4 linked regions of the Drosophila melanogaster genome follow. The protein of the gene in region 3 interacts with the protein of the main gene of each other region in a pairwise test. Each region holds a gene or a part of one and is shown on either strand. Other genes may lie near its edges. The genes, in order: sofe, amos, ATbp and B-H2.

Evidence for each region.
Region 1: the proteins of ATbp (region 3) and sofe interact in a two-hybrid assay, tested with the Drosophila melanogaster proteins (one large-scale study listed by BioGRID).
Region 2: the proteins of ATbp (region 3) and amos interact in a two-hybrid assay, tested with the Drosophila melanogaster proteins (one large-scale study listed by BioGRID).
Region 4: the proteins of ATbp (region 3) and B-H2 interact in a two-hybrid assay, tested with the Drosophila melanogaster proteins (one large-scale study listed by BioGRID).

What each region holds. Positions count from the first base shown.
Region 1 is NC_004354.4:10,854,474-10,859,331, reverse strand, and holds sofe (sister of feo), read left to right. Parts: upstream 1-1,918; 5' UTR 1,919-2,060; coding exon 2,061-3,884; 3' UTR 3,885-4,332; downstream 4,333-4,858. Other genes in the region: CG2186 (uncharacterized protein), read right to left, coding at 1-134, 207-887, 953-1,044, 1,397-1,410; feo (fascetto), read left to right, coding at 4,728-4,858.
Region 2 is NT_033779.5:18,595,635-18,598,896, reverse strand, and holds amos (absent MD neurons and olfactory sensilla), read left to right. Parts: upstream 1-1,975; 5' UTR 1,976-1,990; coding exon 1,991-2,587; 3' UTR 2,588-2,761; downstream 2,762-3,262. UniProt on the Drosophila melanogaster protein: Transcription factor involved in early neurogenesis; sensillum basiconica formation and maybe sensillum trichodea development. Promotes multiple dendritic (MD) neuron formation. Required for olfactory sensilla; regulated by lozenge (lz).
Region 3 is NC_004354.4:23,104,139-23,108,856, forward strand, and holds ATbp ((A+T)-stretch binding protein), read left to right. Parts: upstream 1-1,864; 5' UTR 1,865-1,965; coding exon 1,966-2,145; intron 2,146-2,205; coding exon 2,206-3,192; 3' UTR 3,193-4,193; downstream 4,194-4,718. UniProt on the Drosophila melanogaster protein: May be a transcription factor for genes having (A+T) stretches in their promoter and/or enhancer regions. Binds to AT rich DNA.
Region 4 is NC_004354.4:17,312,753-17,317,681, forward strand, and holds the start of B-H2 (BarH2), read left to right. Parts: upstream 1-1,828; 5' UTR 1,829-2,117; coding exon 2,118-3,159; intron 3,160-4,929. UniProt on the Drosophila melanogaster protein: B-H1 and B-H2 are regulated by members of the wg signaling pathway; wg and dpp. B-H1 and B-H2 are coexpressed and functionally required in R1 and R6 receptor cells and primary pigment cells for normal eye development.

The sequences.
Region 1 (4,858 bases), about 12 Mb from region 3:
TGGCGACGGATTGCGTAGCAGATGGTGGCGCGTTCCAATTCCACGCGGCGGCTTGCCCATCTGGCTCTGTTGCTGCTGCTGCTGCTGCTGCTGGCCATGCATGAAGCGTCCACCTCCGCCCACGCGGGGTTTATCTGCAATTAACAATTAATACACTCATTAGGTAAGGATTTGACAAGGAAGACTACCCCTCCCGTTGCACCCACCTCCATGGCCGTGGAGTCGCCGCTGCTGGTGCTGGTAGGGCGACATGTGTGCGTGCTCTTGCTGCTGCCTCAGATTGTTGTCAGATCGCTCGCTGGCCGTCTTGTAGTTGGTGCGCTCCTCGCGCTCTTCGTCGTCCTCTCGCGGATCTGAAATCACAGAGGCTGAGCTGGCGCTGGGCAGGCTCTCTTGGGATGAGGCCAGTAGCGAGCACAAGCCCAGTCCTCGTTCAGCCTCACTCTGACTGCCAGCGTTCTCAGCTTGTTCCTCGCTGTTGCCATTATTCTGAGTCGCCTCCTTTTCGGCGCAATCAGCTGGAGGCGCCTCCTCCTTAGCTTGCTGTTGTGGGGATTCCGAGCGACTGGCTGACACCAGTTCCTTCGCTGGCTCAGCTGCCACAGCCGCGTGGGCTGTGTCAACATGTTTCTCCACCTGAGCGACTAGAGGTTTCGCAGGAACAGGATCCGGAGCAGGAGATGAAGCTAGCTCTGGTTGCGCCCTTAAAGTTGGTGCTACCTCTGCGGTGGCCGTGGCTGCAACAGTGACTTCAGTCGCTGCAGTCGCATCTGCCTGCAATTGCTCCTTGTGCTTGCGCTCGTGCTGTCTAATCTGCTCCTGGGCCCACTCCTCGGCCTCGGCGCGCATCTGCTGCTTCACCTCGCTGGTGACATCCTTTTCGAGCTCTGTGCATGGAAGAAGGATATCCATCAGAAAACGATTCAACTATTGCAGTGCATATAGAACTCACCTTCGTCCGAGAGTAGCAACTCATCCTCATCGGCGCCGAGCAGAGCTTGGTCATCGATGTCATCGCCCAGCTCGTAGTTGAGCAGGTCATCGCTGCGGATGAGATGCAGTTAAGAAATCATTAATGGGTTAAGGAGAAAACCAAGGTGAGACTTTTCTATCCTTCGAGGTTCCATTGAAAAAAAAAAATATAATAACCACACGCACTCAAACACATACACAAGCACAGCCGGGGGGGCATTCACACACATTCGCACACATACGTACACACCTACGCAGCTTGAAAATGTTATACACATGCATCGCCAACCCCCCCGCCCCGACAATGCTTTTTGCATGCGATTTTCTCAGTGCCACCAATCGAACGCTGGCCAGGATTGTTGCCCAATCTTAGGTGGCCACCATTCATCACAGGGTCACCCACTTTTTCGCACCCACCACTTACTTAATGTCCGACATTTTTTCGCCAGGGCAGCTGTTGACACTCGGCGGCGCGCGTGTGTGGGTGTGTGTTTTAAAGTAGAACAGGGACTGTCTACGGACGCGGCGCGGTGTTTTATAACATTTTGAACAGCCGTTTTGCGATCGAATCGATCTGAGCAGTAACGCGCGCTTTTCCACTGAATAAGTAGGCACCCGAAAGGTATGCGAAAAGTTCGGGTCTTTTTCACACGCAGTATTTTTTTTGAGGGATGCAATTGGTATTAGTGGTGGCAAGTACAGCGATAGGTATGCGTTGCTATCGGTATATATCGATATCAATTTATACTACTTACCATACCATTGGTACTAACATTTACCATATTAGACACGGTAAAACAATTATTTTCTTATAACGCATTATACGCAATAGAAAGTGAGTAGCAGAAATATACTCACTCACTATATATATATTTGATCTCCAATGCTTACCGATGTGGCAATGCTGTCGCCTAACAGCACCAATTGGCCAGTGTTGCAGAGCGCACGAGTTTGATGTACAGTTTGAAATTTACCGATTTAAACATAGCAACATTGCGTCCATACGTTCTGATTCGAATTGAATTTCATGTTTACTTACATCCAACCACACACGAGAACACGACACAGAAACAAACAAAATAAACACAATGCTATCTAGCGAACACAAAGCAAGGATACTAGCGCTGACGGCCGAGCACTTCGACGAGCTGCACGCAATGTGGTCGCGAATGTTTGAGCCGCAAGCCTGCGAGGATTGTCTCGCCCGTCTTAAGGATCACGTACACACATTCTACACGGATCTCCGCAAGGAGACGAGCGACAAGGAGCAGGGTATACTCAACGACATAGCCGTTTTGCGCAACGAGGCCAGCGGGCTAAGGCGGCTGCTTCACAAAGCGGTGGACATTGGCGAGCGGCCGGACGATGTGCCGATGGAGATCTGGTACATTAAGCTGGAGAAATACATCGAACAACTGCGCAAAGAGCTGGTCAGCCGACGGGCAGAGATCAGGGAGCTACTCCATCAACAGCAGCAGCTCTGCGATGAGCTGGGCGAACAGCCGCTTTCACTTCTAGCTGATCCCCTGCCGCTGCCCGAGGAGATGGACCCCTTTCGGGAGCACCTAGCCCAGCTGCGCGATCAGCGAGTGCAGCGCCTCAGGGATATGGACGAGCTGCGCCAGAACATCAAACGAAACATAAAACTACTCGAACTTCAATTGCGAACGGACTCGGAAAAGCGGTTACTCAATGCGGATAACCATAAGCTTACTCCCTACGCCTACGTGCGCCTGCAAGAAATGGACAAAGAGTTCGCCGACCAGGTGCAGGATCTAATCGACCGCATCGACGAGATGCGCGGCAAGATTGAATGCCTCTGGCAGCGGCTCAGGATGACCGACGAATACGCCATGCGTCGTGTGCGCGAAGCCACGTCCTATAACCAGTGCACCTACGACATATTGCGCGAGGAGCTGGAGCGCTGCCAGGCGATGCGGCAGCAGAATCTGATTGCCTTCATCGAGCAGCTGCGCATTGAGATCAACGAGTGGTGGGATCTTTCACTGAAAAGCACCGAGGAGCGCAGGCGCTTCACCACCTACTACTGTGATACGCAGACCGAAGATGTTCTCGAGCAGTTCGAGAAGGAGCTGGACAACCTTAAGGAGTTCTACAACAGCAACAGGAAGATATTTGAGCTATACGCGAATCGAGGCGAGCTATGGACGCGCATGGAGGCCCTGGAGGCCAAGGCCAACGATCCAAATCGGTTCAACAATCGCGGTGGACAGCTGCTCAAGGAGGAGAAGGAGCGCAAGACTATCATGTCCCGTCTGCCCAAGATCGATCAACAAATCACCGAACTGGTGCAGGTCTACATGAGTGAAACGCACACGCCGTTCCTGGTGCACGGCGTGGATATACTGGAGCGCATGTCGGCGGACTGGGAGCGGCATCGACAGTCCAAAAAGCAGCCCTCCGCCCAGAAGAAGGATGGCAGCAATACGAGCGGCCAAATGAAGCCGCCAATGGTGCCTCTTACGCCCAATACGCAGAAGAGCAACCGGGGCATCCATGGATCCACATCCTCGTTGAAGAAGACGCCGACCAAGGCAAATGCCAGCACCACGGCAATGAGCACAGGGAATCTGCACAAGAGACGGCATCCACAGCATCACAACACCAATAGTCCACAGCCGGCAGCAGCGGCCAAGCGAAATCTAATCGCATCGCTGGAGTGCAACAATGCAAGTCGCAAGGTCTGTGTGAATGGGCAGAAGCTGCTCAAGTCGCCGCAGAGGAAGGTGCGCGTGCTGGAATACTCGGTGCGTCGGGGCAAGGGATCCGGCAGGCCGAGCACAGGGAGCAGGAATCCCCAGAAAATTCGTCCCATACCAAAAATCCATGTGCGTCCGCCGTCCGGCGAGGAGAACGAGAGTCCCGACGAGGAGGCGGTCGTGGCCATATAATGGAGCTAGACTCTAATCACATCCAATGGCAATCATTTCGGCAACTGATCTGTGTTCTATATCTATTACCTGTACTGAAGTATTTGGCTCGCAATTGCAGACTCATCGTATTTATATGTATACACATATGTATAGTGTTAGGGCTTTTCCTAGCGCAAAGACTATCTAAATTTACAACTTTAAAATTCTTTTAACTATTTTGCACTACCTGTGACGGCAAGAAGTAAATGAACAATTGTCCACATTTTAAATTTTTAGTCAGATAAAAACGCTTGTTTACATTATAAATTACTTGATTTCAATTTTACCAAAATATACATGTGTGGGAAGGGTTTTCTAAAGTCTGTGGGATGTTTACTAAGCGCATATAAGAGAATATAATACGTTTTTAAGGAGCAAAATAATTAAAATAGATATTTTAATTTGCTAATAAACCAAATAACGAATTTTAAATATTCAAAAAAGTGGCGTATGCTCCAGCCCTGGTTTTACCAGAAGTTACCGCCGCGTGGCAATGCTGTCCCACAACGCGGTGGCAACACTCTTGGCCGCCATTTCAATTTGAATTTACCGAAATTTCTGTCTAGCGTCATCGATTCATTCAGTTCGAAATTTCGTGCAGTGATGCACTCTAAATAAACCACTAAATAAATCCGCACATTCCCGAGCAATCCTGCCCAGCGTTGTGGGTCTGCGACACAACTGTCAAGTTAACTCAGATATGCTGGTTAAATAGTCCCCAAGTGAACACAACGAAAAAACAAAGCCAGTGAGCATTTACGCAAGAAAAGAAATTTTGAACAAAAAAAAAAAAACACAAATTTCACAACGAAAACGGAGAAAATGAACTCGCCGAGCGCCATTGCGGTGAAGGCCCAGATCCTGGAGATGACGGGCGAGCACGTGGATCAGTTGCACGCGATGTGGTCGCAGTTGTTCGAGGTCAAGACCTGCGGTGAGTTCCTCCTCCGGTT
Region 2 (3,262 bases), on a different chromosome or scaffold from region 3:
TTCTCCGCTTTCGCTAGGAACATCCATTTCAAGTTCTTGCTAGACATACTGTCTGGATATTTTTGCACATCTGTGACCACAACGAATTTACTTGGAAACAAACAAATCTTTGTATATAATAATTCATAATTCCAGATTATTACATGGTAATTATGCTCAGGACAATGAAGTTAGGTCTGATCCATTTCAGACCAACAATGGGACCAAAAAACAAAGATCCATTGTCAGGCATTGCAATACAAAGAGTGGAATCAACAAGTGTCGGGCGAGAAGAGATTCCCATGGAATTCCTGGTGACTCCGGGACTCTGACTTCTAATCTCATTTTCGCAATTTAGCGCCAACAACTAATCCGCAAAGCGAAAACGATTAATCTGGCAGGGAAAACCCAAAAACACGCAACTGCCAGACGTATCCGAGATTATCATCAGGTGACCTATTGTTGGTCAGAAGAAAAGAAACAAACGGGCATGGATATGGATGGAGTGCGGAGAGAGGTTCCCACTTTCAACCAGAACCGCCCACCAACCGACTACCTATTGTTGCTATTTTGACAGGATCGAGGTCCCAGGTAGCGCAGAAAAATGCTAATTGGAAATTCCAGAACCTCTTTTCGAAGGCGTTGCAGATCTTTAGGTTATCCGCGAACCTTTCTCCCGAAAATATTGCAGCATAATGCCTAATCTGGGCCAGGATTTCGACTAAGCTGCGGTCGCGTGGCACTCTTAACAAAGTGAACCGATCGAGCGATCGATCGATCCATCAGCTATCATCATCATCGTCAAGATCAAACGTCAGGATCCTTTGTCGGCTCGGGACTTTGTTCCTTGACAATTTGGGCGAAGTAACTGGGCCATCTTGCAGTGGCATCATTTGTACTCTTTAGCCATGCTCGGCGCTTCTCGGCCAGTGTTTTCCAATTGTTTTGCCCAGTTTCCTTAGAAATTCAGCGAACTCCTCGAATTGATTTTCCCTCTAATGCTGCGAGTCTGTGGAGTTAATTAGCCTTTCGATGCGGTCACTTGAAAGTGGGCTTGATCCCAAGATGACTGTGGAAACCAGAGCATACGAATGAAAGTATATAATGTGAGGGTGCAACATATTGCACCAGAGTTTCGAAGGACCCATCGAATGGTTTCAGCATGTTAAAGTAGTGTAGTTTTATTATCGGAAAAGTAACTCTTCAGTAAAGGCGTTAATATAGCACATTTCAAATCCCTTAATATGAAAATAATAATAAATAATAATAATGTGATACTTGCTTTGATTTCTTCATGCTTTTTTGAATTTCGAACTTCTCGACGTCCTGTAATTTGGCCATTGAAAGCAGGAGAAAGCCACTATTAATACACCCACTTAAATTTGACCCAATAAAGTAAGTACAACCGCCTAAAATCGAAAGTCACAAACCGCACAAGCACAATTGTTGCTCTTTGTTCTGTCCGAAAAATGGGGTTTGCATCCAACCAGTCGAGCACTCCACTCACTAGACCACAGACATGCAACCAAGATGATCCATGGCGATCTTCGATGGAGGCACACATTGTGGAAAATATTCCCATATGACAAGAGTCTTTTGTGCGTTCGCATTTTGACCTTGGCTAAATTTTGTTTGAATATAAAAAGTCAATTCCAGGGCAAGTAACAAAAGAGGTATGATTACAGACGGTAGCCAAATGACAGGTCAAACAAAAGGAGTCGACCTGTAGCTGATACAGTAAATACCTGGGAGAAAGAGGGAGAGAGTTGCAGCCAGAGACAATTAAACGTCTTGACCGCAAGCCAATTTAGGGCACGGGCTGTGCTGCTGATCCTCAAGAGGTTGGCAATCGGGTACCTGAGCGGATCGGATCAGCTTGAGGCAGCGAATCAGGTAACAGGACATATGTAGTGAACCAATCACGTGAGAGCTGAATCCTCGGCAGGCAGCTATATAAAGACCCATCCTCAAGCAGCCACTTCAGTTGTCCCTTGAGCCTGCAAACGTAAACATGTTGACCAACAACGAGCTAATGGAGCAGTTCTACTTCCCCGACGAAGCCCCAGCGATTCCCGAGTTCCTGAGCAACGACACCTTCCAGCAGTTGGAGCAGCTCATGTACCAGCAGGAGTTCAGCACCAGCGACAGCCAGTCGGATGGCGCCAACAGTTGCTCCTTGGAGATGTATTACGATACGCCGTCTGTCCTGGAATTGGAGCACATGCTGAATGCCCAGGAGCAGCAGCAGCACCACCTTCAAGCGAATCCCTTGGGCAAGAATCAGGGCAGAAGTCCAAGGTACTGGAACAAGCAGCAGAGGAGCAAGCCATACGACAAGCTGTCCACTTCCATGTCATCATCTACATCCTCCGCCTCTTCGAGCAGTTCATCGTCCGCGGGATTCGGTGGCGAAGTCCTCAAAAAACGGCGACTGGCCGCCAATGCTCGGGAACGGAGGCGGATGAACAGCCTGAACGATGCCTTCGACAAGTTGAGAGATGTGGTTCCATCACTCGGCCACGATCGGCGACTCTCCAAATACGAAACTCTGCAAATGGCGCAAGCATACATCGGGGATCTGGTCACGTTGCTGTCCAGAGACTACTAGCCAGTGTGGGCGATCCTTTATCCTTTCTTCCTCAAATGGAAGTTCCTTTTGCGGGCTGTGTTGCAGCAACACCTTCATATCCTAGTGGAAATCTTATAAAGGCTGTTAGTTTTACGTTTATTATCATAGTTGTACACAATTCAAGCAATAGTTTTATAATAAAAATGAAAATACAAATCAATTATATTGTTTTAAATTCATATCGTATGAAATGGTGGAGTTGGAATGAAAATAATGTTGTGCGAACTTGGAAATTTATATTTTGTTTGAATTGTATCTTTGCATTTTTTGCTGGTACATATACAGAATTTAGAGCAGATATTTTTAGAGAGAAAAAGGGAAAAATCCAATAAATATTTAAAAAAAAGATAGGAAGTTTATAGGTACTGAAATGTAAATAACTTATCAGACTTATTAATTTACATAAATATATGTAAAAACTCCATTTATCAATCCAACTGATGCCTCCACATTTGTTTTTATTCGCCACGCTTTCATCTCAGCCCGAAAAAGGGTATCCTTGTTATCCTTGAAAGATGAGAGCGGCATGGCAAGCTAGGCAGTGCGCCACGCCCACGAACCAAAACGAAAGGTCATAACATCAGTAACAAACCGAGAATTAATGAGTTCCGCTTCCGACTCAAAGTGATGGAACTCCAAAACAGAAGTGATTAA
Region 3 (4,718 bases):
TTGTATAGGTATTTCTCTAATTTCGTATGCTTTTTCTAGTCCAAGCAAAAGAATGGTAGCTGTTAAGATGATTTTGGCTTGATGTTTGATGCCAATTTGATGTCCTCGAGATGTTGGTTATATACATTTATTTATATATTTAAGTATGTCCTGTGTGTTAAAGTTTTCAATAGTTGTAAGTGGATGGCTTGTTGCGGTTCTTGCTTGGCTGTCAGCGAGTTCATTTCCTGGTGTTCTTAATAATGCAGAATTTTGCTCTTTTATTTTTATGAGTTCTTAGGGCCTCAATAATGGCTAGTATGATGTGCCGTTTGATAAGTTAAATTTCGTAGTTAATAGCGAAGCTGGTAATTTTGTTTGTTTGAGATCCATCTGTGTAAATGTAGGTCTAGGAAAGATCGTTAGTTTGCTTATTATTTAATATTTTCCTTATCAATTTTGGGGTCGTGTTGTTTTTGTTGAACTTATTGTGTGTTGTGTCGATTTTAGAAAGATTGGTGTTTCAGGGAGGTGAGGTTTGGGGGCATATATTACCCGTTACTCGCAGAGTAAAAGGGTATACTAGATTCGTTGAGAAGTATGAACCGGCGGAAGGAAGCGTTTTCGACCATATAATATATATATATTCTTGATCAGGATCAATAGCCGAGTCGATCTATCCATGCCAGTCTATCGGTCTGTACGTAGGGAAATGCAAAGACAAAACAAAATGTGAAAATATATCGCACATACCTAAGTATGTAGTTATGTAAATACACATACATATATACATATATTTCACATTTTACATAGCCACATATGAATATACATATGTGTTTTCGGGTAGGGTATCATTTTAAAAGTGTCTGTCTTGCGTTACTTACATTTTTTCAATAACAAGTACTCAATACTTTTGCTTTTGGATTGTATTTTCTCCACTGTACATTTGTATAACAAAATCCATAATATTATCTTTTAAGCTACGCATTAAGGTAATTTCAGAAGGAAATGAACGATTCCTAGTGACTTCAATATTATTGAATAATAATTGATTTTTCCAAAAAAAAGATTGTATTCAAATATATTTCGGTATTGTTATATATTCATACATAAATTCATTTATACACATAACGGAAAATTAAAAAACATCGATTAGTTCGTAATCAAAGCACATTAAATCAATGCTTAACAATAATCAGGACACACTATGTAGTACGTTATTTAAAAAATTATTAACATAATGCTTGTGTTCTAACTAAATAACCGACTGACCCTTTCAGGAGTAAGGGAGAACTCTTCATTCTGATAATGAAAATGCGAGAAAGATGGAGCTATTCAAACAGCAAAACATTGATACGGACAAGTCCAGTTCGACTCTACTAGTTTTCCTGATCAAGAATATATGTATATACATTAAAGGGTCGGTAACGCTTCCTTTTACCTGTTAAATACTTTTCAAGGAATTTAATATACGCCTCCACCATACGAGGGCATGAAAATCATTTTTGGTACTTCACAACATTTTTAAAATTGTAAAAGGCTTAAAGATTCCATACAACAGTTATTTAATATCGATAGAAAATTCGCGATTCTGGACTTTTATTTAGAAGTTTTTACCTTATCGATATATCGATAGAAGATATTTAAAATGCTATAAAAGTATTTTGGTTCTTCCAATGTCTAACGCTTTTTTTGAGTGTCCTGTTGAGGAAACCAATGTTTTTTAAGATTTTTTCCCAAAGCTTCACATGCGTTTTATCGTTTGTAAATATAATTCCTAATTAAAGTTTTTTTTATGGACCACTGATATGTAGTTCTTTACCATCAATGCGATAGCTGCGTTCAAGTTCGACACTAAATAAGGCCGATGATTAATCGATACTATCGACAGTGCCCATTCGGCCGATAGCTAAACAAAAACAAAAAAAAAATAAACATAAACAAACAACAGCACAAGGACCGGACCTAGTCAAACAAAACAACGCCATGGGTTTTCCGCGCATCCTCAGCAAGAACAACAAGATCTACACCAAGCTGGGCGAGTTCTGTTTGTCGGGGGATAGCTTCTGGATTGTTTGTCACACGTGCCAAGAGGAGTTGCAGACACAGGATCAGTTCTGGAAGCACATACAGGATGAGCATAATTTCATGCACGGGGTGGCAAAGGTATGCTTTATGTGGTTTTTTTTTGGCGGAGGGTTTATAACCCTTGGTCTCTTTACACAGGAACACAGTCGTACATCCAGCTACTGCCTAACGGATGTGGAGGCTGCGGCGGCAGCAGCAACGCCAGGAAGCAGCTCCCAGCAAGGCGCCACAGCGATCAGTGTGCCTCTGGCACTTTACACCTGCTCAACCAAGTATTCTGAGGAGGAGCAGCGGGAGGTGGAAATGCACGAACAGCAGGTGCAACACCAAGTGCAACAGCAGCAAGCGCAGCAGCAGCAAGCGCAGCAGCAACAACACCAACAGTCTCAGCAGCAAGGGCACCAGCAACACCAGGTTCAACAACAGCAGACCCACCAGCAGCTCCAACAGCAGCGGGATGTTGCCAAGGAGCTGGCTGAACTCCATGCCAATGCGGTAGCTGCCGCTGCAGCCTCCGCAGCTGTGGTATCCACAGGCGAAGGAACTACCCAAAGTAACAGCGCCATCGACATTAAAATAGAGCCCAGCAGTCTGACACTTACACCCGAAATGCAGGCTGCTGCAGCAGCTGGGGGGACCATTTACCATCTGCCACAGCTAGTTCCACCACCTGTACCGCCTCCACCGCCAGGGTCCGGATTTGTAAGCGTCAGCGCCAGTACCAGCACCTCCAATACGGTCAGCACCACGCCACCCAATGTTCTACAGCAGCAACAGCAACTAAACATGTCTGTCGTTCCTTCGACGGCTATGGCCGCCGCTATGCTAGCCGCCAGTCAGGAACAGCTGCCCAAGGACTCTAACAGCACGACGGCCAGCGCCGGGAGTGCTGTCTCTTCAGATGACGGAGAACGCTGGTACGTCTGCGATTACGAGACTTGTGGTTTGAAGTTTAAGTATAAGTCGAGAATGGAGCTACATCGGGTAGTTCACAGCAAGGAGCGGCGGTTCAATTGCGAACTGTGCAGTGCCTCCTTCAAGCAGTCGTGCAACCTATCAACACACCGGAAGAAAAAGCACGCACTGAGAGGCATCAAAAGCGAGATATTGCCGCAGCGCTTTTAGGCTATACATTAAACAGAGACAGCTCAAAGATTCCCCAATTAACCACATTGCATCTCGAAAAACCCTGTTTGAAAATGTTGACTTAAGTTCAAGGAAATCGCTTGTTTGCCACAAAAAATGTTCATTGTGCTAGGAGCCACAGAAATCTGTTGAATTAGCAAGGTGTGTACAAAAGAGTTCTACATTTTGTCTCTTCCATGATTTCTCTGCCTTTTCTAAGACTCAATAAAGTTATAGACTTTATATTTATATTTATAAATTAAATAATTCTGGATAATTCCGACTGTAAATTAAAATTTAGCACTGCGTCAACATTGTGGCAGGCAAGTGACATATATATGTATATCACATATGTGTATATATATATGCTCTACAAATGAATATATATTGTATATAAATAAATATATAATATAAATATATATAACATGTATGCATATTTAGTATATAAAAATATACAAATATAAACTAATATCTAATGTAGGCTTAGGTTGTCATGTAAATGTAATGTAAATGTTTAGGCAGAGGTATGAAAACCCCCGTTATCTTTTACGCTCTAAGTGTACATGCAATGATGTGTGTAAAGGAGACCAAAATTTAGAAGACGGAATTAAGCCCAACCAAAAAATATGTTGGTGTCTAGACCGTTGTGAGTTTTGTTTTAGAGTAAATTGGTTCACAATGTGTTAAAACCGATTAGTCTCCTTTGAGTAAGTCTTTTACTTTAAGTTGAAATGGATTCTGAGGACAGCGAGATTTCTGGGACATATCTAGTGGTTGCTGAAATAGTGTCAGTTACAGTTTACAAGGTTAGAACAGTTATTTACCTAGATACACAATATTTATGTATATATGGCCATATATACAGCTGCGAAAAATTTAATATTACCACTTGCCCAATCAAGGTTTGAATAAGTCCCAATTTTAGGATTTAAAAAGAGCAAAAATACCTTTTTAGAAAAGTTAAATCATGCACTTATTAGAAAATAAAAAATAATTACATTGTTCTATGAGTTCTTAACTTAATTAGCCACGTCATGAAAAATGCTTAAATATTCAATTTTAAACAGCTGTTCAACGTGTTGGCATGGATTGATTCAGGTCCTGGCACTGTTTAAGGGATATTTAGGTCCAGGACTTCTTAATTACAGCCCAAAGTTTTCCATTGTTAGTTGCTCGAGAAGCTACAACTGCCTTTTTATTATCGTTGAAAGTATGTAACAGGCAGAAAGGAATCCGACCATATAAAGTATATAACTGCTACGCCCACATTTTTGAAAAATTGTTTGATATTTTTTCATAATTTTATTAGTTGTGTAAATTTCTATCGATTTGCCAAAAAACAGTTTTGAACAATTCTTAAATTTTTTCTCATTTTATTCCCCAATATCTATCGATATCATAATAAAATGATAAAATTTCGTGTTCGCATTCACACTAGCTGAGCAACGGGTATCTCTCTTGTTTTTCTTGTATTTTATCCATTGCCCACAAAGTTAACAACCTTGCTCACATCTGACCATAAAATG
Region 4 (4,929 bases), 5.8 Mb from region 3:
GTATTAAATTGGTCTGACCTTAGTTTTATTTATTGATAATTAAGAAAACAATTATCAATAAGTAAATTACATAAAAAAAATGATAAGTTTATGTTCATATCTATTAATGCTATAATTTATATTACAGGAAAATCAATCTCATGGTTTATTCAGAGGCAATACAAACTGTACCCAATGATCCCGGTCACGTCTTCGTTTTCCTGCTCCAGCCCGATCGTTTGTCAGGTCGTAAATGCTTGGGATATATCTATGATTACGATACTCTATTCCTGGAAACGTTTGGCGACAGGAACTCGGATACATACCAATGGCCAGTAATACCCGACAATTGCTGCCGTGAGGCCATTTTGAAAAGCTAACTATACAATAAACATGTGGCAGCGGGAGCATCCGCCTCCAGGCGCCAAAGACTGCCTCCTCGAGTAGCTCCTGCCCACCGGAGCACGCTTGTTAGTCCACAGGAATGAGGTGGTAGGAACCCCCAGTGGTATACAGCCCCCTCTTGGATAGCCACCCCCCCCCTGAGACCCATTCACTTGCACATTAGGCAGCAAATTGACATCGATACAAGAAGTAAACCAGAAGTGAGTGGAAAGAGAGGGCACTATCGCGTGCGACAGAGAGGAAAGCGTGCAGCATTTAACTGCTGCCAATTTACTGTTTAAATGCCAAACAAAAAGTGTTAACAAGCGCAAAAATAACAAAAGACACCAACAACAAAGTACGCAGAGCGAGAGGGCCCGAGGCGAGCCACAGGCGGCCAGCCCTTGGGCCAAAGCGAGACAGACAGATGTCGTGCCGGCTGCCTCTCGCTCGCACAAACCAGTTTAAGGGGGCGTGGCCTGGCCACAAAACAGGGTTGACAGCATCCCATCCATCCATCTTGCCATCCGGATATCTGTCCATCAGATACAACAGCAAAAGCAACATTAGAAGCAAAAGCAAAGGCGGCAGCTGCCCTGCTGCCATAATCGTGTTGAGTTTCAAGCTGCCATAAAAAGTTTATGGGAAGTCGTATTGAACAGGGAAACCTTCTAAAACAGTATGATTTTGCTACTGCTGGAGGCATATTGCATAAATGTTCTGTCATTCCTGTACAAACTATATTTAGTTGGAAAGTTAGATAACAAGTTATTAGTATATTAAAGATGCATGGCTACATATTTTTTAATAATACTCGCTATTATAATAAAAGTTTACCATTAACACTGTTCAAATTTTGTTTGAAAGCAGCTAAAATAATATGAAATAACCAACTGACCCCTAAGACTATATTTAACCCTCAAAGATAACGAACACGTTTTTGTTCAGATTTATAGAAATCAAATAAGTACAAATAACTTTTTATATAAATTGACAAGACTTAATAAACCCTATTTATTTAAGGATATGAAGTTAATTGCAATACTTTTTGTGCGGTTGTAGTTCGAAACAGCCAACTCCACCACGTGCCATAAAAATAACCGTTAGACGTGCGGCCATTGCCGGCGGAAAGTCACCACACCCGCCAACTTGAGTCCCGCTGATTGAAGCCTAATGAATGTCAATTGCTGCCAATTACGACCAATAAGTGCGGGCAATAAATGTGGGCAGCCGTGGGTGCGAGCGAGAGGCAGTCGCGGGGCGACAGAGAGGGAAACTCACCACACCGCCACTTGGCCAGGTCAATGAGCGAAAAAGAGACGACGACAGGTGGCAGCTGATGGGAAGCGGTGGCTCAACTGGTTTTTGCTGCCTTCTTGTTGTTGCTGCTGTTGCCGCTGCTGCTGTTGTTGCTGCTGCTGCTGCCAGTTGCTGTTGCTGGCAGCAAGTTTCAGTTTCGGTCGAAAGCCAAAGGCGAGCGGTTGTTGCTCCGCTATTGAACATCACAAAGTGTGCGCACCTCAGCGACATTTGCGTTAAAAACCCAGTTGGGCCAAGAAAACATTAACCAACGCAAGAGCAATCGAAAGCGGAGTTCAAGAACTTGTCAAGTTTAAGAAATAAGTGCGAGCAGCTACCAACAATTAACTGAAGAAGTGCTAAAAACTCGCGTCACCCATACATACATACATAGCTGTTTGTTTTTTTTCGGTGCAAAGTGCAGGTGCAGCAGCGGAGTCGTCGGCTAACCACACATGACCACAATGCCACCGGAAATGTCCGCAACAACGGCAGCTCCCGTTGGCAGTGCACCGAGTGCCACCGCTCATCATCCCGCTGCCGTCGGCGGCGGTATGCCGCGTCCAGCTTCCCCGGCCGTCGGCAGCAACACGACGACAGCCACGGCCACAACGGCGACGCGATCCCGCTTTATGATCACCGATATTTTGGCAGGAGCCGCGGCCGCATCGGCGGCGGCAGCAGCAGCGGCGGCCGCCTTGGCAGCCGCCTCTTCCGGCGGTGGGCGTGGCAGTCCGACGGACTCGGAGCGGGAGCAATCGCTGGTCGCCCAGCATCACCACCATCACCAGCAGCAGCAACAACACCATCATCACCAGCAGCAGCAGCAGCAGCAGCAACATCAGCAGGCTGCCCTGCAACAGTACATCGTGCAACAGCAGCAGTTGCTGCGCTTTGAACGGGAAAGGGAGAGGGAGCGGGAGCGGGAACACTATAGGGAGAGACATTCGCCGCCTGGCAACAATCCCTATGCCCACCACCCCATGCCGCCCCATCTGCTCGCCCACTTTCCGCCCGCCCACTACGCCGTGCTGCAGCAGCAGCAACAGCAACAGCAGCAACAGCAACATCCCCACCCGCATCATCTGCAGCTTGAGAGGGAACGATTGGAGGCACTGCATCGGCATGGCCACGGGCTGACCGGTGATCCTGCCCAGCACTTGAGCCACTTAAGCCACCTGAGCCACCAGCAGCACCATCCGCATCTGCATCATCCCATGCACGATGAGCGATCCCGGTCACCGCTGATGCTGCAACAATTGGGCGGTAACGGTGGCAATAACAACAACAATAACAACAACAGCAGCAGTGCCAGTAACAACAACAACAACAACAACAACAGTGCTAGTGCCAACAGCAACATCATCAGCGGCAACAGCAGCAGCAGCAACAACAACAATGGCAGTGGCAACGGCAACATGTTGCTCGGAGGACCCGGCAGCAGCATTAGCGGCGATCAAGCCAGCACAATCGACGACAGCGACAGCGATGATTGCGGTAAGTCGCTGATCATATATCATAAACATACAATGAATCTGTATAGCAATATGGTTTAAGCTGTATTTCAAGGATAAGGCTACATCGGGAATATATAAAGTATATATATATATATATAGCAGAAATAATTAAGTTGCTAACTAAAGGAAGAGACTAGTTCATGAGACAGACATACAGATTCAGATGGATCTTGAAGAATAGCACCAAGTGCGGAATATATGTATATGTATATAGACACTTTATTGCAATATCAAGTAATATGAGAAGAGCAAAGCGGGGATACATATAGAGAATATATATATATATATATATAGCAATATGATATTTGTGATATTTCAGGGACTGGACTGGATGGGAAAGTGAAATCTAATGAACAACTGATATTCAAAATAGCAAGAAAAAAGAAAGACAAGATATAATGCGAGATATAAATGTTTCAAAATACCAATCAAGGCTTTTTTATACGTGTTCCTGACGTACAAATTAAAAGCAATCAAAATCTAGCTAATATATATGTATTTAAGCTCTAGTAAATTTGCATAGAATATTAAAGGAAATAAAGGAAGCTAGTAATTATAGTATACAAATTGCCATTAAAACCAGTTCTATTTATAAACTTTACCAAAGTTCAGCTGTATTAGCTATTTTATTAAACGAAAAGGGCTTTTATGGCTATAGAGAATAGAAATTATTTCATAGTATGCACACCAATAAATGTTAGCTGATAAATTTGATTCGGTTGGTATTAATTTGAAACCCAAACGGTGGACTTTTGTTTATACACTGAAGGGGATCTCGAAACCAATTTACACCTATCCATCTGACCCCTGAGTTCGCACCACTTTAAATTTACGATTTTCCCCGCGACCGGGATATATCATATATTGAGTGCTAAGCGTGGTTGTTTTTCCTGTTGTCTTTGTCGTTTTTGTTGTGGCTGTTGGCTAATAGATAACGGCCAACAACAACCGCACCAACAACCACCGTAAATTGTGCGGCTCGAACGGGGAAAATGCTGGCTTGATAGGCGAAGACTCGAAAAATACAGGTGAGTTCGAGTCTGAGGCAGGTGTCTTAGGTTTTGTCTCTCACTCTCTCTTTCTTCCTCTACCTGTATATGTCTCTCTTTCTGTTTTTTCCTTTTCAATCCCCCCCCCCCCCCCTCAACTTATTGGCCAGATTAGCCAAGTGTTCGCTTATTTTCAACATATTTCCCAGTCAAAACTGTCAACAGAATACCCTTGACTGCCACGCCCCCCGCGTGCCGTCAACCTTGTTTTGCATGCAACAATCTAATTGATTTTGTTGCCTAGCTTTAGTTTTGCTTTTTTCCTCTCGTTAAGTGCTTTTAAACGATATGCAAATTATAACAAATTACTATTAAATAGCCGTAATCGTGCGTTTGCAATTGATTTGCAGTAATATAATTTAGAAAGGCCGAGAACGTGCACAAATATATATGTATGTATTTGAAAGAGCATGGAAATCAGAACAAAAGGTCAGAATGTTGAGTTTGCTACAAAAGATGTGTGTGTGTTTTTATTATAGATTTTTTACGAAATCCCAAAGGATGATAAAAATGAGTTTCCACTATTTTTGGATAACTAAAATGCCGAGTAATTTTAGTTATTTTAATAATTGCCCGGTCTCAATTCAGTTTTTTTTTTGTTAACGAGAAATTATAAGCCCCTAAGCAATTTTGTTTCAATCAAAGCTTCCCCAATTTCATGGACAATTTTCACATTTATATGTGTTTTTTGACTTGTGCCA